Saccharomyces cerevisiae S288C: one gene and its partners. The gene in region 3 interacts genetically with the main gene of each other region. Each region holds a gene or a part of one and is shown on either strand. Other genes may lie near its edges. The genes, in order: IAI11, PUN1, ATM1 and GLK1.

Evidence for each region.
Region 1: mutations in ATM1 (region 3) and IAI11 together harm fitness more than expected from each alone (negative genetic interaction), as found in Saccharomyces cerevisiae (one large-scale study listed by BioGRID).
Region 2: mutations in ATM1 (region 3) and PUN1 together harm fitness more than expected from each alone (negative genetic interaction), as found in Saccharomyces cerevisiae (one large-scale study listed by BioGRID).
Region 4: mutations in ATM1 (region 3) and GLK1 together harm fitness more than expected from each alone (negative genetic interaction), as found in Saccharomyces cerevisiae (one large-scale study listed by BioGRID).

What each region holds. Positions count from the first base shown.
Region 1 is NC_001134.8:108,053-112,181, reverse strand, and holds IAI11 (Iai11p), read right to left. Parts: upstream 1,589-4,129; coding exon 1,303-1,588; intron 1,234-1,302; coding exon 938-1,233; downstream 1-937. Other genes in the region: protein phosphatase regulator SHP1, read right to left, coding at 1-745; CMC2 (Cmc2p), read left to right, coding at 1,643-1,676, 1,762-2,057; Arf family guanine nucleotide exchange factor YEL1, read right to left, coding at 2,187-4,129.
Region 2 is NC_001144.5:951,869-955,751, forward strand, and holds PUN1 (Pun1p), read right to left. Parts: upstream 2,277-3,883; coding exon 1,485-2,276; downstream 1-1,484. Other genes in the region: INA1 (Ina1p), read left to right, coding at 1-1,315; YLR415C (uncharacterized protein), read right to left, coding at 2,391-2,729; ESCRT-II subunit protein VPS36, read left to right, coding at 3,142-3,883. UniProt on the Saccharomyces cerevisiae protein: Contributes to the wild-type cellular response to nitrogen stress through signaling pathways that regulate the expression of genes involved in amino acid biosynthesis. Required for wild-type filamentous growth, cell growth, and cell-cell adhesion.
Region 3 is NC_001145.3:866,842-872,346, reverse strand, and holds ATM1 (ATP-binding cassette Fe/S cluster precursor transporter ATM1), read left to right. Parts: upstream 1-2,719; coding exon 2,720-4,792; downstream 4,793-5,505. Other genes in the region: YME2 (Yme2p), read left to right, coding at 1-2,274; ADE4 (amidophosphoribosyltransferase), read left to right, coding at 5,256-5,505. UniProt on the Saccharomyces cerevisiae protein: Performs an essential function in the generation of cytoplasmic iron-sulfur proteins by mediating the ATP-dependent export of Fe/S cluster precursors synthesized by NFS1 and other mitochondrial proteins. Hydrolyzes ATP.
Region 4 is NC_001135.5:48,958-53,811, reverse strand, and holds GLK1 (glucokinase), read right to left. Parts: upstream 2,975-4,854; coding exon 1,472-2,974; downstream 1-1,471. Other genes in the region: glucose-induced degradation complex subunit GID7, read right to left, coding at 1-1,167; YCL042W (uncharacterized protein), read right to left, coding at 2,869-3,228; protein disulfide isomerase PDI1, read left to right, coding at 3,591-4,854. UniProt on the Saccharomyces cerevisiae protein: Two isoenzymes, hexokinase-1 and hexokinase-2, can phosphorylate keto- and aldohexoses in yeast, whereas a third isoenzyme, GLK, is specific for aldohexoses. All glucose phosphorylating enzymes are involved in glucose uptake.

The DNA of each region.
Region 1 (4,129 bases), on a different chromosome or scaffold from region 3:
CATCGGCCACTTGAAAACCTTCCTTCCAAAATGTAATTTCTCTTGTGACTTTTTCTGGTCTACGTTGTGATTGTGAAGTGTTGTCTTCTACGACTTCATCTGCTGCGTCGATGGTTGACCCTAATCTAAAACCTCTTCCAGTAAACCTATTGGCACCCATTTCATGGTCTTCGTCATCACGGAATCCGTTTTCAGCGCCCATTTGACCACCCCTTCTCGCTTTTTCCAGCAAATCCTTCAGTAATGAATTAGGATCTGAAGGATCTGTAACCTCTAAGCCGGATGTTTCACCACCAGCAAAAGTATTTCTCGGTTGATCTTCATCGTCATCATCAGCTTGACCTCTTACCATATCCGAAAAGCTCATAAACCTGGAGTTGTTACCACTTCCAGAGCGGCTACTACCCTTGGTTGGTTCAGGAGAGGTAGAACCTTTCCTTTTCAAGTACTCGTTGCTACCTTGTGAGGATCCTGGTTTTGGACATAACCCACCAACGTGCTCCGTATTTATGGCTTTATTCGAAGAGTTGGTGGAGAAGGCTTCTTGCTTGAGGGCCTTCTCCTGCTGTCTGTTCCAATGTGCTTCCTCTCTTCTATCCTTTTGGTCATCCGTTTGAGAAGCATAATAGGAATTTAGTGCTTCATTTAAATCTCCAAATTCAGAGAGATATTGAACGGCTATGTTATGCGACACATTGGTCAATGCCATGAACTGCTGGATGGTTTCATCAGGTATTTCCGCCATACCTAAATAATGAGTTAATTGTTGTGCTACCGACGTTTCTTATATATTTAAATCGAAATATGTTAAGCATACAACTATTAAACCCCTTCCGTTCTTTATTGCCATCGATTTTCGCCACCAATAAGAGTTCTAATGCGGGTAACACATATAAGTAGTGGAATATATTATTGAAACTACTACTATGGTATAACACTATTTACAAAGAGATGAATTGTGTGTCTTAACTAAGCTGTCCACTACTTGCTGGCTTCTTTTATCCAGAGGCATGTTTGTCACTACAAATTCGTTGTTGGCACGCCTTTCCAGACGTTGCTTTAGTTCCTGAAATGATGAAACATCCCAGCTCCAACATGTCCCTGTGATGCCCATACCAAATATACCTAGTGTCATGCCCGTTGCCGCTAAAAGAGAACCTGCAAGACTCTTTTGTGTGTGTGTTATTGTCTGCGTCCGGCTGGCGTAGTTTGCTTGAAAAGTGTTCAATGGCACTATGTAAATAAGTTATGTTAGTAAACGTGTTCTTTGAGTATGAGGCCGAAGTTATTGCCTATGCATACCTTTTGCAGTTATCATTTTCTTCATGGCAATTCTACATGTTATAAGTGTAAAAATAGTGATTCCGAAGAATCGTGTCATCTGAGTTTTCCTCCTCTTTTTATAGTCGTCTATAAAATGTGTGACTTCCTCACTACTGATTTTGGGCTTGTCGTTTCTGCTCACTAACATTATTGTTGGCCAGTCCTTTATTTCGAATTTTCTTCTTGTGTTTACATTATGTTTCAATTCGCATATTACATTAATAGAGAAAGACCTATTAAAAAATCGCTGCGCGTCCAATAACATTCACTGATTTACAAGTGCAGTTGAACAAAAGCAAGATAAGACAAGTACTACAACATGCATCCACAGTTAGAAGCTGAACGTTTTCATTGTAAGTATCCAGATTTTACTTCATATATTTGCCTTTTTCTGTGCTCCGACTTACTAACATTGTATTCTCCCCTTCTTCATTTTAGCCTGTTTGGACTTCATCAATGCACTCGATAAATGCCATCAAAAGGAATATTACAAGAGAATATTTGGCCTTTGTAACAACGAAAAGGATGCTTTGAACAAGTGTCTCAAGGAGGCAAGTTTGAATAACAAGAAACGTGCTGTCATTGAAAGTAGAATAAAGAGAGCTGATGTAGAAAAGAGATGGAAGAAAATTGAGGAAGAAGAATATGGCGAGGACGCTATATTAAAGACTATCTTAGATAGACAGTACGCCAAGAAAAAGCAGGAAAGTGACAATGATGCGAACTCGAAATAAAAGCTTTTTTTCTGTCGCTACTTCATTCACACAAATCATCTCAATATCCCTTGTAAATAAAAGGCAGAGTACAGTTTTCAAGTTTATATTTCTTCAGCGCAGTCTTTATATTTATATCTTTAAATATACTTAGAACTGAACAGAACCCATGGCTTTTTGCAAAGCTTTCAAGTAGCTCAGTCGTTTCTTATATTGATTATTCATATACAAATATCTCGAATTCCAATTATTCATGACTGCTTCAAAATAGTTATCGTCAAAGCTCCAAATTTCGACCAGCTTATCCTTTATTTCGTTATGTTTATCTATCCATATACCAAGCTGTCTGGTGAAGTTCATCAATTCCTTTAGCCTTTCTTTTAGTTCGACCATCTCTACATCTTTCGCATCTTCGTATAGTAGCTCTAGCCCCAATAGTGGCTTCCATTCACTTACAACAATATTTTTAAGATTGAGGGAAGCGTGCTCTGTCAAGATCTTGTCACTCCATCCATATTCTGCGTTAGATACGGCTTCGAATTGTGTTAAAGGAACTGGAGAAATCCTACCTGCCCAGAAGTTGATACAGTCCATAAACTTGTGGGCTTCTTCAACACTTCTCGTCTGGAACTCCAGAACAAGCTTTGGTCCGTTGATATTCTCTGGAAAACTAACGGTAAAGTTGCCACTTTTCCTCTTGGTGTTTTTGTTACACACATTTGATTTCATTGCTCCACTACCTATAATTATATTATCTTGCACGACATGTGCTTCAGCTTCAAGCAGTGAGTAAGCAAAATAAGAGCTACTGATATCTTTGAAATAGTCGATGGTAGCACTGTCTGTTTCACTTGATTGGATGATATCCTTAACATCTGGTTTAATTTTGAAAATAAAAATTCTGCCCTCCTTGACCTGTATTTTCACCCTCTCCCATTCAGAATCCTTATTCAAATACGATAAAGAAGTCCTTCTAGATGTGTGCTCAATAAGTGTAGTCGTTTTAGATGGTTTTAGCCATCCGAAGAACGATTTGTTTCTCTTAGAGGTCATTTTTGGTGCCGCCACTTGATCTTTGTCTCTTTTAGAATATTTACGTGGTAAAGATTTCTTGCTTATAAGAATTAAATCGTCCATGAACCAACTGGAGCCGTTTTCGGTAATTAAACCGTCATCAAAAGACTCTTTAAGGTAGAGTGCATCCATGGGGTGATTATTGTGAAAGTTTTTATTTGATTTTGCGCTCATTTCTCGTACAGATACTTGACCATCTCTTGAATATAGTGTAGTAGAATTAGAGTTAACACTACGTAAATTTGATGTACTAAATTCCCGTGATCCTAGAGTAGAGAACCTTTTCAAGGAAGATTGGTTATCTGATATATTTATTGATGTTCTAGATTCTGTGCATAACGGTAAAGGCGTTTCATTTAACGTTTTATAGTATTCGGAAAGTTCTTCGATGATCAAATGTTCGCGGGAGTATATTTTCAATTCTTCGTATTCATTTTCCTCTCTTAGTGCCCTCAGTGTATTGTTGATAAATGCAACCATGGAAAACTTAATCTTTTTATGGTCAACTTGAAAGTTGTTGTGCAAATCCGAATTAAGGATCAACAGGGAAAATAAGACTATATGACATGACTTATAGCCTGACTTCCAATGTGTGTTCGGGTGGCAAGCTATCCATTCTATGCTCAAGCACTCTAGTATCCGGTCGATATTTTGCGCTTCTGCAATGAAATATATACTTTTCGATAAATTGAAAAGCGTTTCTAATAGTGACGACGGCAAAGGACTCAATAACTTTACAAACTCAGTCAAGACTTGATTATTGTTATCGTTTCCCAAGAAATTTGCATATTCCTTGTAAGATACATCTTTGAAAGTGCCTTCCAAGATCTCTGAGGCAATAAGATGACTATTCTGATCAGTTTCCTCGGATTGAGTGGAGCTAATATCTTCAGTACCAGTCCCCGCAGTGGCGGTATCCGTAGTAGGTATCACAGGTTTTTCGTCATTAGCAGCTTCCTTGTTTTGTAAAATATCACACATGTTGACCATCGTGGGAGACTGTAGCATATTTTTCATGC
Region 2 (3,883 bases), on a different chromosome or scaffold from region 3:
ATTGTTTTCTAGTCTAAAAACCAGTCTTGCGGAAGGTGGCAATGCTACTGAAACTATTATGCAATTAGGCTCCCTCGTTCCTTCGAGTTTAAAACCAGCTGTCCAAGCTGTTGTTACTCTGTTTGATGAAACTACATCTCAAAATGTAACATTATCCGTATTGAGCACTATGATTGCCGAAAACATTACCCAATCATCTTCCGCTAAAGCTGCCATGGGTGCTTTGACTGACTTGTTGAATTACACTACAAACCAAACAGAGCTGCTAACATCTGTCGAAAGTTTGGCCCTCTCTAAAGAAGCCGCTTCCTCTACTAACCAATTGGTGGCACTTGATGAAATCCTTTCTGCAAGTGCTAACGCATCCACAGTTGTTTCCATAATCCCTACTTTGGAATCCCAATTGGCCAATAACACCGTATTACTTAAGTACGTTCCATACTTGTTCAGCCTATTAGCTGCGTCAAGCGACCCCGTGTCAAGTTTCTCTTCTCTGGTTAATATCACCAAATGGGCAGAAACTAATGCCGCTACATTTATGCCCATGTTGAAAATTTTAAACTCTGCTGTAAACATGACAACTATCACACCAGAACAACTCAAGGAAATGACTCCTTCTATCCTTGAATATCTACACATCCCTGTCATATACCGTTTGTCCATTTTCACAATGTGTCGTGCTCACTTAAACAGAACAATGTACTCGTGTAGCAAGTCACACGCTGTTCAAAACATGGATTTCCGGTCGATTGTTTACAACAACATTGAAGGCTCGGACTTTAAACCTTATATGGATGCCCTGAACATCGGTAAGGACGATTTGCATTTAGATGGTGAATTACAAGACAGACAACACATGTATGTCCCAGCAGTGAAAGCAGCTTTAGCTATGAACTTAATGTGCATAATCACATCCTTCTTCTTAATGGTATTCTTGTTGCTACTAAGTAGACGTTCCGTGGTGAGTCAAAAATTATGGTTGGCATTGGGCTTTATTTCCTGTTGGATATGTATTTTCAGCGGGTTGGGAAGCACAATCTTTAGCGTCATCCTTAATATGATGAAATCCGGCTCCAAGAAGGACAATTACGATGTCATTATTTCTGGCTCTTCTCCATTTTATGGCCTAATGTGGTCTGGATTTGTATTTGCCGTCCTTGTATTTCTCTGCATTGCATACTGCTGGTGGAGCAGCAGAAAGGGAGCTGCCATCGTGGAAGCTGAGAAAGCTGTTCAAGAAAGTGACTCTACTACCTCAAGAATCATTGAAGAACACGAAAGCCCCATTGATGCTGAAAAAAACTTTGCAAGGTAAAATAATAAAAAGAAGATCATGCAACATCACCCCGTAAATTTTTTCAATTCTCCATCCTTTTAATTTTCTTCATTATAATTTTCTGAATTGTATATAGACAATATATTTTAATCATATTTAATATGAAACGGAACACAAAAATTAATTAATAACCTTGCCTTTTTCAAATTCAAATCAATGGTTTTTCCTCAATTGGAGCGTTCGCATAGATGACGGTGGGCCTCGATCTCACGCTACACCATAGAATGAAATTCAGTAATGCTCCAACGACAGCCCCCCACATCAAACCCTGGTAGTTCCTACCAATGCTCATTGAAATACCGTAATCACTATAGTTATGCTTTAGGATGTATTTGATGTATGAGTAAGTGCCCAAACACGAACCTATACTGACTAATAGGGCGGCAAAGGCGAAAAATGAAAAAAAGGCACCAAACCACGTTAGCGGCCTTATGTGGATGATCCAGCGCAATACGTTGAACACTAGATTCACAAAGGTCAAGACAATACCAATAAGAATGGTAATGAACATACACTTGACCAAATTGTTGTAGTATGTCATTTTACTTTTTAGTTTTTCGGGCAAAACAACACTGGCCACGGAATCCATAAGCTCCAGAGCCTCATTGTTGTTGATATTGTCATACACTAATGACGATAGGTTAAAATTCTGGATACCGTGAGGCGAAGAACATGATTGGATGTTATGCGAGGAGTCCACTGTACAGTACGACCAAAGCCCTATATTTATATATGAGGGCAGGCCCAACGAAGATAGCGTAGCAGAACTCAAAGAAGGGAGCACCGTCGATACCTTCATCTGCGACAGATCCAATTCTGCACAGTAAATTTTATTTATGGGACTGTAATTTTTCGTTGATCCTGCGCATGCAACAATGGCTAATATAAGTGCTCCTAGCGAAAATATAGCTGCAAAAAATAACGTGAAAAAATTCCTCATGCTTATAGCGTCCTTCGATGATGTGTTTGTTTTTTTCTTAATAGTTCTCTATTGCTTTAATCAAGTTTCACTACTGCGCAGCGTTGTATGATCTTGATCTAGTTTCTTTTAGTTCTACTTCCAAACAACTGGTCCAGAATGAAACACCACTGGACACTCATTGACTACTGAGACATGGAAGAGCAACATTCTCGCGTATATATACTTCTCAGCCAATTTTCCTGCGAGAAGCGCTAAAAATACCGAGCTGGGCTTGGCTGATAGTACGCCCGATTTGGAAATAACGCTCGAGGCGTGCTGCGTCCTTTTTTGCCTGGCCAGGCCAGGCCGGGTTGTCCCGCACCATTCAACGGCGGCTATCTGGCGATGTTGAAAGAGGGGGGGAGTGGAGAGGGCTCTGAGGGTCAAGTGGGAGGCTGTGACAGTTCTCATAAGCTGGGCACTGAGATACATGGAAAGAAATAGGCTGTTCACAGTGTACGTCAATGTGTGGCTGACTAACCGTTAGCGGGGCGGAACCGACATGTCTGGTGCAGTGTATGTAAGAAAAAAAGAATGACAATGCATGGCCAAACTTTTGATCTGTGACGTTCGCAAAACGCACTACTTTGCTTTCTGTATGCAATGGGAATGAGGCGTAGCGACATATTAAGAAGCCTTTTCCATGTGAGGAAGCTTCGCCTTGTTTTCCAGACGCGCTTTTTTTAGGATCAACGAAGAGGAAAAAGGGTTTCACATGTTTCATCTGGAAAAGATGGAGACTGAAAAACAAAAAAGCAGAGAAAAGGTCATCCAAGATAGAATAGGGGACCTCGGCTAGGAATCAGGAAGTGTGTTTTGAAAGTCATTCTTTTTTTTTCAAAAGATGGAGTACTGGCATTATGTGGAAACTACGTCATCGGGCCAACCTCTTCTTCGAGAAGGTGAAAAAGATATCTTTATCGATCAGTCCGTAGGTCTTTACCATGGCAAATCTAAGATTCTACAGCGACAGAGGGGCAGAATCTTTTTAACGTCACAAAGAATTATCTACATCGACGATGCAAAGCCCACTCAGAACTCGCTTGGGTTGGAATTGGACGATCTAGCGTATGTAAACTATTCATCTGGCTTCTTGACCAGATCACCTCGTCTGATCCTGTTTTTCAAGGACCCCTCCAGTAAGGATGAACTTGGTAAAAGTGCGGAAACAGCAAGTGCCGACGTTGTTTCGACGTGGGTCTGCCCCATCTGTATGGTTTCGAACGAAACGCAGGGGGAATTCACTAAAGACACTCTACCTACACCCATTTGTATCAATTGCGGTGTGCCAGCGGACTATGAGCTCACCAAGTCGTCTATAAATTGTTCTAATGCAATCGACCCGAACGCCAACCCACAGAATCAGTTCGGAGTGAACTCTGAGAACATTTGCCCCGCCTGTACTTTTGCTAATCATCCTCAAATAGGAAATTGCGAGATTTGCGGCCACAGATTGCCTAATGCATCCAAAGTACGATCAAAGCTGAACAGGCTAAACTTTCATGATTCTAGGGTCCATATTGAGCTAGAAAAAAATTCACTGGCTAGAAACAAGAGCTCGCACTCGGCATTATCGTCCTCGTCCT
Region 3 (5,505 bases):
CTGTGGTACAATCTCCTGCTAAGAAACCAGTCACGGGATGCAGTGAGGGAGAAAATAAGGAATTTAGCCAGTCCACCCAATAACCCCATTTATGGACTGGAGTTGAAGTCTACCATTCCAGTGAAAAGGGATGGTGGTGTATTTGCCACATTTGTCGTTCCACCCAAGTATACAAAAGCTCAGGTAAATTCTCTAATCCAACAGAATACAGCCAGAGAATCCTCTAAAAACTTACTCTCGTACTTCACTCGAGCTTCTGCCTTCCCAGTAAAGGGTTCGCCTTGGATTGAGGATTTAAGAAGACTACCAAGTACCACTATAGTCATCAAGTTCCAAGGGCCCGCCTTAACAGAAGAAGAAATATACTCTTTATTCAGAAGATATGGGACAATTATTGATATTTTCCCTCCCACTGCTGCTAACAACAATGTGGCAAAGGTAAGATACCGTTCATTCCGTGGTGCCATTTCTGCCAAGAATTGTGTTTCCGGTATCGAAATTCATAATACCGTCTTACACATACAATACGAAAATATCAGAAGAGGCCATCTAGTTAGTAATTTTTTCACCAACCATACAAGGATTGCTATTCCAGTTTTATTTGCGCTACTTTCAATCTTTGCTGTTTTAGTGTTTGATCCTATAAGAGAATTTTCGATTGAACAGAAGATCACTCACAAATATTCTTTATCGTGGGACAATAAGTTTTGGAAACAACTGAAAACGCTAACCTCATCTACCATGACTTCTATCAAGTACTACTGGGGCGGCCCTGATGATAATCACCAAAGAAAGCATTTATGGGAGGAAAGAATAGAGAAAGTGAATGACCTGAAAATGTGGCTTGAAGAAAATAATAATACTTTTGTGGTTATAAGGGGGCCTAGAGGTTCAGGGAAACATGATTTGGTCATGCAACACACTTTGCAAAATAGAGCAAATGTTTTGTATTTGGATTGTGATAAATTGATTAAGTCCAGAACAGATCCTATGTTTTTAAAAAATGCCGCTAGTCAATTGGGTTATTTCCCAATATTCCCATGGATTGACTCTGTCACAGGTGTCCTTGATTTAACAGTGCAAGGATTAACAGGGCAAAAAACTGGGTTGTCTGAGACGAAGGAATCTCGGTTTAGAAACATGTTAACTACCTCATTGATGTCCATTAGACGTATTGCTCTCAAGAATTACAAGGCTTTTGTTTCCACCGGTGATGGGACAGTTAATGTTAAGGAAGAAGATTACCTACAGCAACATCCGGAAGCTAAACCCGTTATCGTCATAGATAGGTTTGAGGGCAAGTCGGAAATAAATGGATTTGTGTATAAGGAACTATCCGATTGGGCAGCTATGCTAGTTCAAATGAATATTGCTCATGTGATTTTCTTAACGGAAACCGTTGCATCCAACCAAAGATTGAGCGAATCACTACCCAATCAAGTCTTCAAAAACCTAATCCTATCAGATGCCTCAAAAGAGAATTCGAGGAACTATGTATTATCCCAATTGGAGGATTACTTATATTACAATAAAAAATCCAAGGGTGAAAACGTAAAAGAACCTGAATCAGAAAAGGAAACTGCTGAAAATAATGATTCTGATAGTGAGGCCGATACGAGTGTCAAAAAAGCTGAGGTTATTTTAAATGAAAAGGAATTACAGGAAATTGACGCTTCTTTAGAGCCATTGGGTGGTAGGATGTTAGACTTACAGGCATTTGTAAGAAGGGTAAAGTCAGGAGAAGAGCCCTCGGAAGCAGTAGACAAAATGATTGAACAGGCTTCTGAGCAAATAACTCAAATGTTTTTAAGTGACAAGATTGACAGCAATAAAAGTGCACAAGCCTGGGAATTAATCGAATTATTGAGTGCGAACCCAGTCATTCCATTCCATGAAATCGTTAACAAGCCATTATTCAAAGCCGCACCAGAAACGGGAATCATGGAATTGGAGAATAATGGTTTAATAACTGTATCTAGAGATAGGGGTGTTTTACAGGAAATCAGGCCTGCCAAACCGCTATACAGGGCAGCATTCACATACTTGATCAACGATCCTGAACTCGCAAAAGTGCTAAAAACCCGTTACTTATTAAAGGTTGTGGGTTTTGAAACTGGTAGAATCAAGAAATGGGAAGAAGAATTAAAACCTTTGGGGAAAGTTCCTGATCAGAAACTTTTCAAGACCAGATTGGACTATTTATCCGGTAAAATCAATGCCAGTAATGCAGTCATTACCAAATGTGAAGAAGAAATTAAAAACCTATCTAAGTGATGAAACAAAACTTACTATTCTGCTTTTCTGTACATATGTGTAAACCCTATATTGCTATACTCATCTATATTCTTTTGAAAATGTATAAAAGTGACGATTGGAGATGGTGCAATTTTCTACGCAGCATGAAAAATATCTAAGGAAGGTAAGGTACATACCAAGTAAGTCTTATAATATGTTGTTGTACCTCACTTTACCATTCTTAAAGTCTTTAAAAGAAATTACCTTACCCAATTTGCACAGCAAAGGTCACTGACCTATACGTGCCCTTCATCAGATTACATCACGTGAAATTTCACTGGGAAAGAGCGCGAGGGCTTTCCGATGACTTTCTACATTAATAATCGCAAACAAAGCAATCAGCACAGCAAAGAGTACAATTTCGAAAATTGCGACAGAGCAACGTAAGTATATCGTTGTTGATAGATTCCACTCCAACCTGCAAATGCTGCTTCTTCCAAGATGTCCTGTAATTGGGCGAATTGTAAGATCAAAATTTAGATCTGGTCTAATCCGGAACCATTCGCCCGTTATATTTACTGTGTCTAAGTTATCAACCCAGCGGCCTCTGTTATTCAATTCAGCTGTGAATTTATGGAATCAAGCACAAAAGGATATTACGCACAAAAAATCCGTCGAGCAATTCTCGTCGGCTCCAAAAGTGAAGACTCAGGTAAAAAAGACCAGCAAGGCCCCAACCCTCTCGGAACTGAAAATCTTGAAAGATCTATTTCGCTATATTTGGCCCAAAGGCAACAATAAAGTGAGGATAAGGGTACTGATTGCCCTTGGACTGTTGATATCCGCCAAAATTTTAAATGTTCAAGTACCTTTTTTTTTCAAGCAAACTATTGATTCAATGAATATAGCATGGGATGATCCTACAGTCGCCCTTCCGGCAGCGATTGGATTAACCATTCTTTGCTATGGTGTTGCAAGGTTCGGCTCTGTTTTATTCGGCGAACTGAGGAACGCCGTATTTGCCAAAGTGGCACAGAATGCCATTAGAACTGTGTCGCTACAAACTTTCCAGCACCTTATGAAGTTAGATTTGGGATGGCACTTGAGTAGACAAACGGGTGGTCTGACGAGGGCCATGGATAGAGGTACAAAGGGTATATCTCAAGTGTTAACGGCCATGGTATTCCACATTATCCCTATAAGTTTTGAAATATCTGTCGTTTGTGGGATTTTGACGTATCAATTCGGTGCGTCATTTGCCGCAATAACATTCAGTACAATGCTTTTATACTCCATTTTCACTATAAAGACGACCGCATGGAGGACACATTTTAGAAGGGATGCTAACAAGGCCGATAACAAAGCTGCCAGTGTGGCTTTAGATTCTTTAATTAATTTTGAGGCGGTAAAATACTTCAACAATGAAAAATATCTTGCAGATAAGTATAATGGCTCCTTGATGAACTATCGTGACTCTCAAATTAAAGTATCGCAATCTCTAGCATTTTTGAACTCCGGCCAAAATCTAATTTTTACTACTGCCCTAACTGCAATGATGTATATGGGTTGCACCGGCGTTATTGGTGGCAACTTGACAGTTGGTGACTTGGTTCTAATTAATCAGTTGGTTTTTCAACTATCAGTACCGCTAAATTTTCTTGGTAGTGTTTACAGAGATTTAAAGCAGTCTCTGATTGATATGGAAACGCTATTTAAGTTAAGAAAAAATGAAGTCAAGATTAAAAATGCCGAACGTCCCTTAATGCTTCCAGAAAATGTTCCCTACGATATTACTTTTGAGAACGTCACGTTTGGATATCATCCCGATAGGAAAATTTTAAAGAATGCCAGCTTTACCATCCCAGCAGGCTGGAAAACCGCAATAGTTGGGTCTTCGGGCAGTGGGAAGTCCACCATTTTAAAATTAGTCTTTAGATTTTATGATCCTGAAAGCGGAAGGATCCTCATAAACGGTAGAGATATTAAAGAATATGACATCGATGCCTTGAGGAAGGTGATTGGTGTGGTACCACAGGACACACCACTTTTCAATGACACTATCTGGGAAAATGTAAAGTTCGGTCGTATTGACGCAACCGACGAGGAAGTGATAACTGTAGTTGAAAAAGCCCAGCTAGCACCCTTAATCAAGAAATTACCACAAGGTTTTGACACCATCGTCGGGGAGCGAGGGTTGATGATCAGCGGTGGTGAAAAGCAAAGGCTGGCAATTGCAAGGGTACTATTGAAGAATGCAAGGATCATGTTTTTTGACGAGGCCACAAGCGCCTTGGACACACACACAGAACAAGCTCTCTTACGAACCATTAGAGATAACTTTACTTCGGGTTCGAGAACGAGTGTATACATCGCACATAGACTGAGGACAATTGCAGATGCAGACAAGATCATAGTCCTTGACAACGGAAGAGTAAGAGAGGAAGGTAAGCATCTTGAACTGTTGGCTATGCCAGGGTCATTGTACCGCGAACTTTGGACCATACAAGAAGATCTGGATCATTTAGAGAATGAACTAAAAGACCAGCAAGAACTATGAACGCTCGTAAGTAAATATTGATTTATACATGTATAAGTTTTTCAAGATTTAAGGAAAAAAGAAAAGTTATTATCTTTCTCCGCGGTTTTTCAATGACCCGATGTATTGACTCTTCCTGACCGAAAATAACAGGACAGAGTTAGAACGAACATGAATAATAAAATATAATCTGGGATCATGAATCCGAATGACTGCTCATGCGGCAAATGTCAGAGCTTCGGTGTATTTAAAGTTTGCTTACTTACAATTTCAATAATAGGTTTGTACTTTTCAGATTCTTATTATTAAGTCAAGGTAAAGTCCTTCGTTTTTTTTTTTTTCATTTTAGAAAAATTTCAACAGCCACCGTACAATTTTATTCACTTTTAAGTCATAGTTGCGAAGACATCGTCTTGAAAGTAGTAGATTTCGTTCTAATAAGTTTAGCAAAGAAAGAGGTACAGCAAACAGCAGAATAGAAAAAATGTGTGGTATTTTAGGTATTGTATTAGCAAACCAAACCACTCCAGTAGCTCCGGAGTTATGTGATGGATGCATTTTTCTACAACATCGTGGACAAGATGCAGCTGGTATAGCTACCTGTGGTTCTCGTGGTAGAATCTACCAATGTAAAGGTAATGGTATGGCTCGTGACGTATTTACCCAACAACGTGTTTCCGGTCTTGCTGGTTCCATGGGTATTGCCCACTTGAGATATCCTACAGCCGGGTCTT
Region 4 (4,854 bases), on a different chromosome or scaffold from region 3:
GCAAGCAACCAGATACCGGCTATCAGGAGAAAACATGAGGTACAATACGGATTGTGACAAGCTCACGCAAGTCTTATAAATTTTGAAGTCTTGTTCCACATCATAAACAGTAATGAAGTAGCCTCTTGAAGACTCGGAAGTCGCAGAAGCCAAATACTTGCCATTGGGCGAAAATGTCAAAAACCAAATTTCGTCTGTGGTGTCTTGGATAGTCTTCCATTCTTGAAAGGTCACAGTCAGATCGTGTGAGAAGTTATCCTGCAAAAGGTTGATCCGGTGGGGTGGAGAGGAGAAAGAGGCGTCATCATCCGGATCGATGATATTAAAAATGTCTTGTGATTGTTGATACTTGATGGCCTGTTTCAAGAGATGCAAGAGACGACCCTTGGGAACGAGTTCGTTCGGATCGATATATTTGGAGATGGCGTCAATCAGATGGTCTCGCTCGAGGTTCAACTGCGCGGTTAGTTTTGGGTTGGTCAGGTACGTCGACAGTTCTCTCAAGGTCGTTTCCGGATTGAAGATGTTTTCTTCATTTAGGAACTGATCGTTAGACACCAGCAGGGAATCCCATATCTCGATGAAGTTTTTGAGGATTTTGCGCAAATACAGGACGGGCAGTGCAGTGTGAGGGCCCTTGTGAGAGGCGGAATTTGTGACTGGATGGAAGAATTCGAGGAATATTTGTCTATTAACTAGAATCATGATCTCTACGTAATTTCTGAGCGTGGCGATCTCTGCGTCCGAACAAGTAGATGAATTTACAGAGCTCATCAGCTGTTGCAGGTATTGCAGTTGCAGGAGCATGTGGTCGAAAAGTGAAGTCGTGGCGGGCGTCGGCGTGGGAATGAGCAGCCTTTGAAGCCATTCGGACCTTAGCGGAGAGCTATGGGCAAGGGGCAGCGAGCAAACAATCTGCCAATTAATAAGATGGAATTGGCCGGTCTTGATGAGTTTGAAGAAAGTCTGGATGTGGTTAGACTCATTTTGATATCCGCCGCTCTCTAGCAGTAACTGGTTAGCGGCGGAGTCGTAGCCCAGCTCCTTTAGAGTATGTATCAGTAATTTAGTGAGCTGTTTCTTGTCAAAACAACCAACGGAAGAGGGCGAGGCTGTTTCCTCCGTGTCATTGTTCAACACGTATGCGATCTTATTAGTGTGTGACATTTTATTAGTTGAAGTAGTACGCCCCCTTGGAAGTGTTTTTCATATTTGACTTCCAAAAATGATAAAGGAAGACCTAGCAAGGCATTTATTGTTCTTCATTTTCCCTTAAAAACCAAAGGCCCGTTTCCGATGATATTGTTCATTAATGTGAGAAAATCATACATACATACATACGTTCTTATACGGTATTGTATAAGAATGTATGTATATACACTGAAAATATACATATATATATATATATATAAAGGAGAGAAGATGGTAAGTACGGTGGGATACGTACACAAACCAAAAAAATGTAAAAAGATCATGCTACAAGCGCACACAAGGCGGCACCCACTCCGGAACCATCCTTGGCAATCTTCAAGTGCACCTTCCTCTCACCCTCGGCACCCAAGGGTGACAAGGCTAAGGCGTGTCTCAGCATAGATCTGAAACCGGGGTAGTATTCCACAACGGAACCATCACAACCGATCTCGACTTCACCATGATATCTCTTGTTCAAAGCATTTGTCTTGATCAATATCGCGGCAAGCGGCACGGCGGCTAAATACGCAGATCTCCTAGAAATCGCGCGCACCAATTTTTGAATTTGAACACGCTCTGTTGGAGTGGTGGGCAGTCTGAGACTCTGTAATAATGACAACTCTGTTTCACGTAGACCTGTCGAGTCGTCAATTTCAATATGCGACAGCACTTCGGATGACAACTGGAAAGGTGTAGTCAAGTGGCGAGGAAGTTGTTCCTTGGACCTGTACTGTTGCAAAAGCAAGCCTTGCGAGTGCAAGTCCACTAAAATGTTACGCAACACCTCACCCAAGAACATCCCTGAGACACGTTTTTCAAACAAGTGAAATCCCGGGTTCGTTGACAGTTTCTGGTCAATTACGACGTCATACTTAGTAGTAGGCAAGTGCTTGAGCTCATTATCGAAGGACCCCCATTCGACATTGATGATCATGTGTGTCTTACCCTCCTTTATCAACTTGTCACGCAACTCCTGTGGCAACTTCGTGATCTTGTTGATCTCCTCCATATAGCACCCATTGGTACCGGTACCGAAAATACATCCGATGACCGGCTCCGAGATTTCTCCGGACGTCATTGAGTCCGTGTTATCGGACGTGTAGCAATGCGATAGGTACGTTCCGACGGTGTCGTTGGTTAATGCAACAACCTTGATCATAGGCATACCCTGAGCGCTTAATTGCTCCTGGTACAATTGCACGACATCCTTTCCGACGGTGTCCGCGATGCGGAAACCCTTGGTCCAACGGATCAATGTCCCGGAGTTTAGAGAGGTCTGGTCTACAGGGTATGAGAAAGTGAACCCCAGTTTCATGGGCTTGGCGTCTTTACCCTTGGCCAACTCGTCCGGGTGATACTTCTTCATAAAGGCCAGTGTACGACGTGCTAGAAACCCAAACAGGTCGTCAGATGTGACGTTCTCATCGTCTAGCAAATCATCGGGAATCTTGGACTTCATTTGCTCCATGGAGAAAGTATGATCTCCATGCAAGTTAACAGAACATATACGGAAATTGGTACCACCCAGGTCGGCGGCTAGTAAAACACCGCGCTCCGTCCCGTTGGGTGACCCGGTGACGAACGCCGGAATCATAGGAAGACCTTTGTCCGAGGCCAATGTGTGGCCTTCCTTTGGTGGAGCTAGACCTTTTTCCATTTGTTCGATGAAGTAAGCAGTTAATTCGTCCAGCTTCTCGGGGGTAACCTCGAAATCGTCGCAGATCTGGTCCACGGCCTGGATGACCGCTCTCTCAGTGGCTTTGTGTAAGTCGTCGAATGACATCTTGTGTATGATAGAGTTGTATTAGTGGTGGTGTTGTGGTTTACGGAAGCTGAGTTGGGCACTGATGGGGGGGTTGGGGGTTCTGTTGATAGCGGATATTTATATGGGCGCGTTTTCATTAGTGCCCACCGTTTGAGCGTGGTGTGACACCACGCCCAAGATAGGGGGCCCCCTGAAAGGGGTTGACCGTCCGTCGGCACACCACTTATAATGCGGGGTGCAAGCGCCGCGTCTAAAATTTTTTTTTTTTCCATTTTTGTCGTTATTGTTATTTCCCGTTTTTTGTTTTTTTTGATTTTTTCGGAGCGACAAACCTTTCGAAACACGTGTCCTGAAAATTATCCTGGGCTGCACGTGATAATATGTTACCCTGTCGGGCGGCGCCTCTTTTTCCCTTTTCTCTCACTAGTCTCTTTTTCCAATTTGCCACCGTGTAGCATTTTGTTGTGCTGTTACAACCACAACAAAACGAAAAACCCGTATGGACATACATATATATATATATATATATATATATTTTGTTACGCGTGCATTTTCTTGTTGCAAGCAGCATGTCTAATTGGTAATTTTAAAGCTGCCAAGCTCTACATAAAGAAAAACATACATCTATCCCGTTATGAAGTTTTCTGCTGGTGCCGTCCTGTCATGGTCCTCCCTGCTGCTCGCCTCCTCTGTTTTCGCCCAACAAGAGGCTGTGGCCCCTGAAGACTCCGCTGTCGTTAAGTTGGCCACCGACTCCTTCAATGAGTACATTCAGTCGCACGACTTGGTGCTTGCGGAGTTTTTTGCTCCATGGTGTGGCCACTGTAAGAACATGGCTCCTGAATACGTTAAAGCCGCCGAGACTTTAGTTGAGAAAAACATTACCTTGGCCCAGATCGACTGTACTGAAAACCAGGATCTGTGTATGGAACACAACATTCCAGGGTTCCCAAGCTTGAAGATTTTCAAAAACAGCGATGTTAACAACTCGATCGATTACGAGGGACCTAGAACTGCCGAGGCCATTGTCCAATTCATGATCAAGCAAAGCCAACCGGCTGTCGCCGTTGTTGCTGATCTACCAGCTTACCTTGCTAACGAGACTTTTGTCACTCCAGTTATCGTCCAATCCGGTAAGATTGACGCCGACTTCAACGCCACCTTTTACTCCATGGCCAACAAACACTTCAACGACTACGACTTTGTCTCCGCTGAAAACGCAGACGATGATTTCAAGCTTTCTATTTACTTGCCCTCCGCCATGGACGAGCCTGTAGTATACAACGGTAAGAAAGCCGATATCGCTGACGCTGATGTTTTTGAAAAATGGTTGCAAGTGGAAGCCTTGCCCTACTTTGGTGAAATCGACGGTTCCGTTTTCGCCCAATACGTCGAAAGCGGTTTGCCTTTGGGTTACTTATTCTACAATGACGAGGAAGAATTGGAAGAATACAAGCCTCTCTTTACCGAGTTGGCCAAAAAGAACAGAGGTCTAATGAACTTTGTTAGCATCGATGCCAGAAAATTCGGCAGACACGCCGGCAACTTGAACATGAAGGAACAATTCCCTCTATTTGCCATCCACGACATGACTGAAGACTTGAAGTACGGTTTGCCTCAACTCTCTGAAGAGGCGTTTGACGAATTGAGCGACAAGATCGTGTTGGAGTCTAAGGCTATTGAATCTTTGGTTAAGGACTTCTTGAAAGGTGATGCCTCCCCAATCGTGAAGTCCCAAGAGATCTTCGAGAACCAAGATTCCTCTGTCTTCCAATTGGTCGGTAAGAACCATGACGAAATCGTCAACGACCCAAAGAAGGACGTTCTTGTTTTGTACTATGCCCCATGGTGTGGTCACTGTAAGAGATTGGCCCCAACTTACCAAGAACTAGCTGATA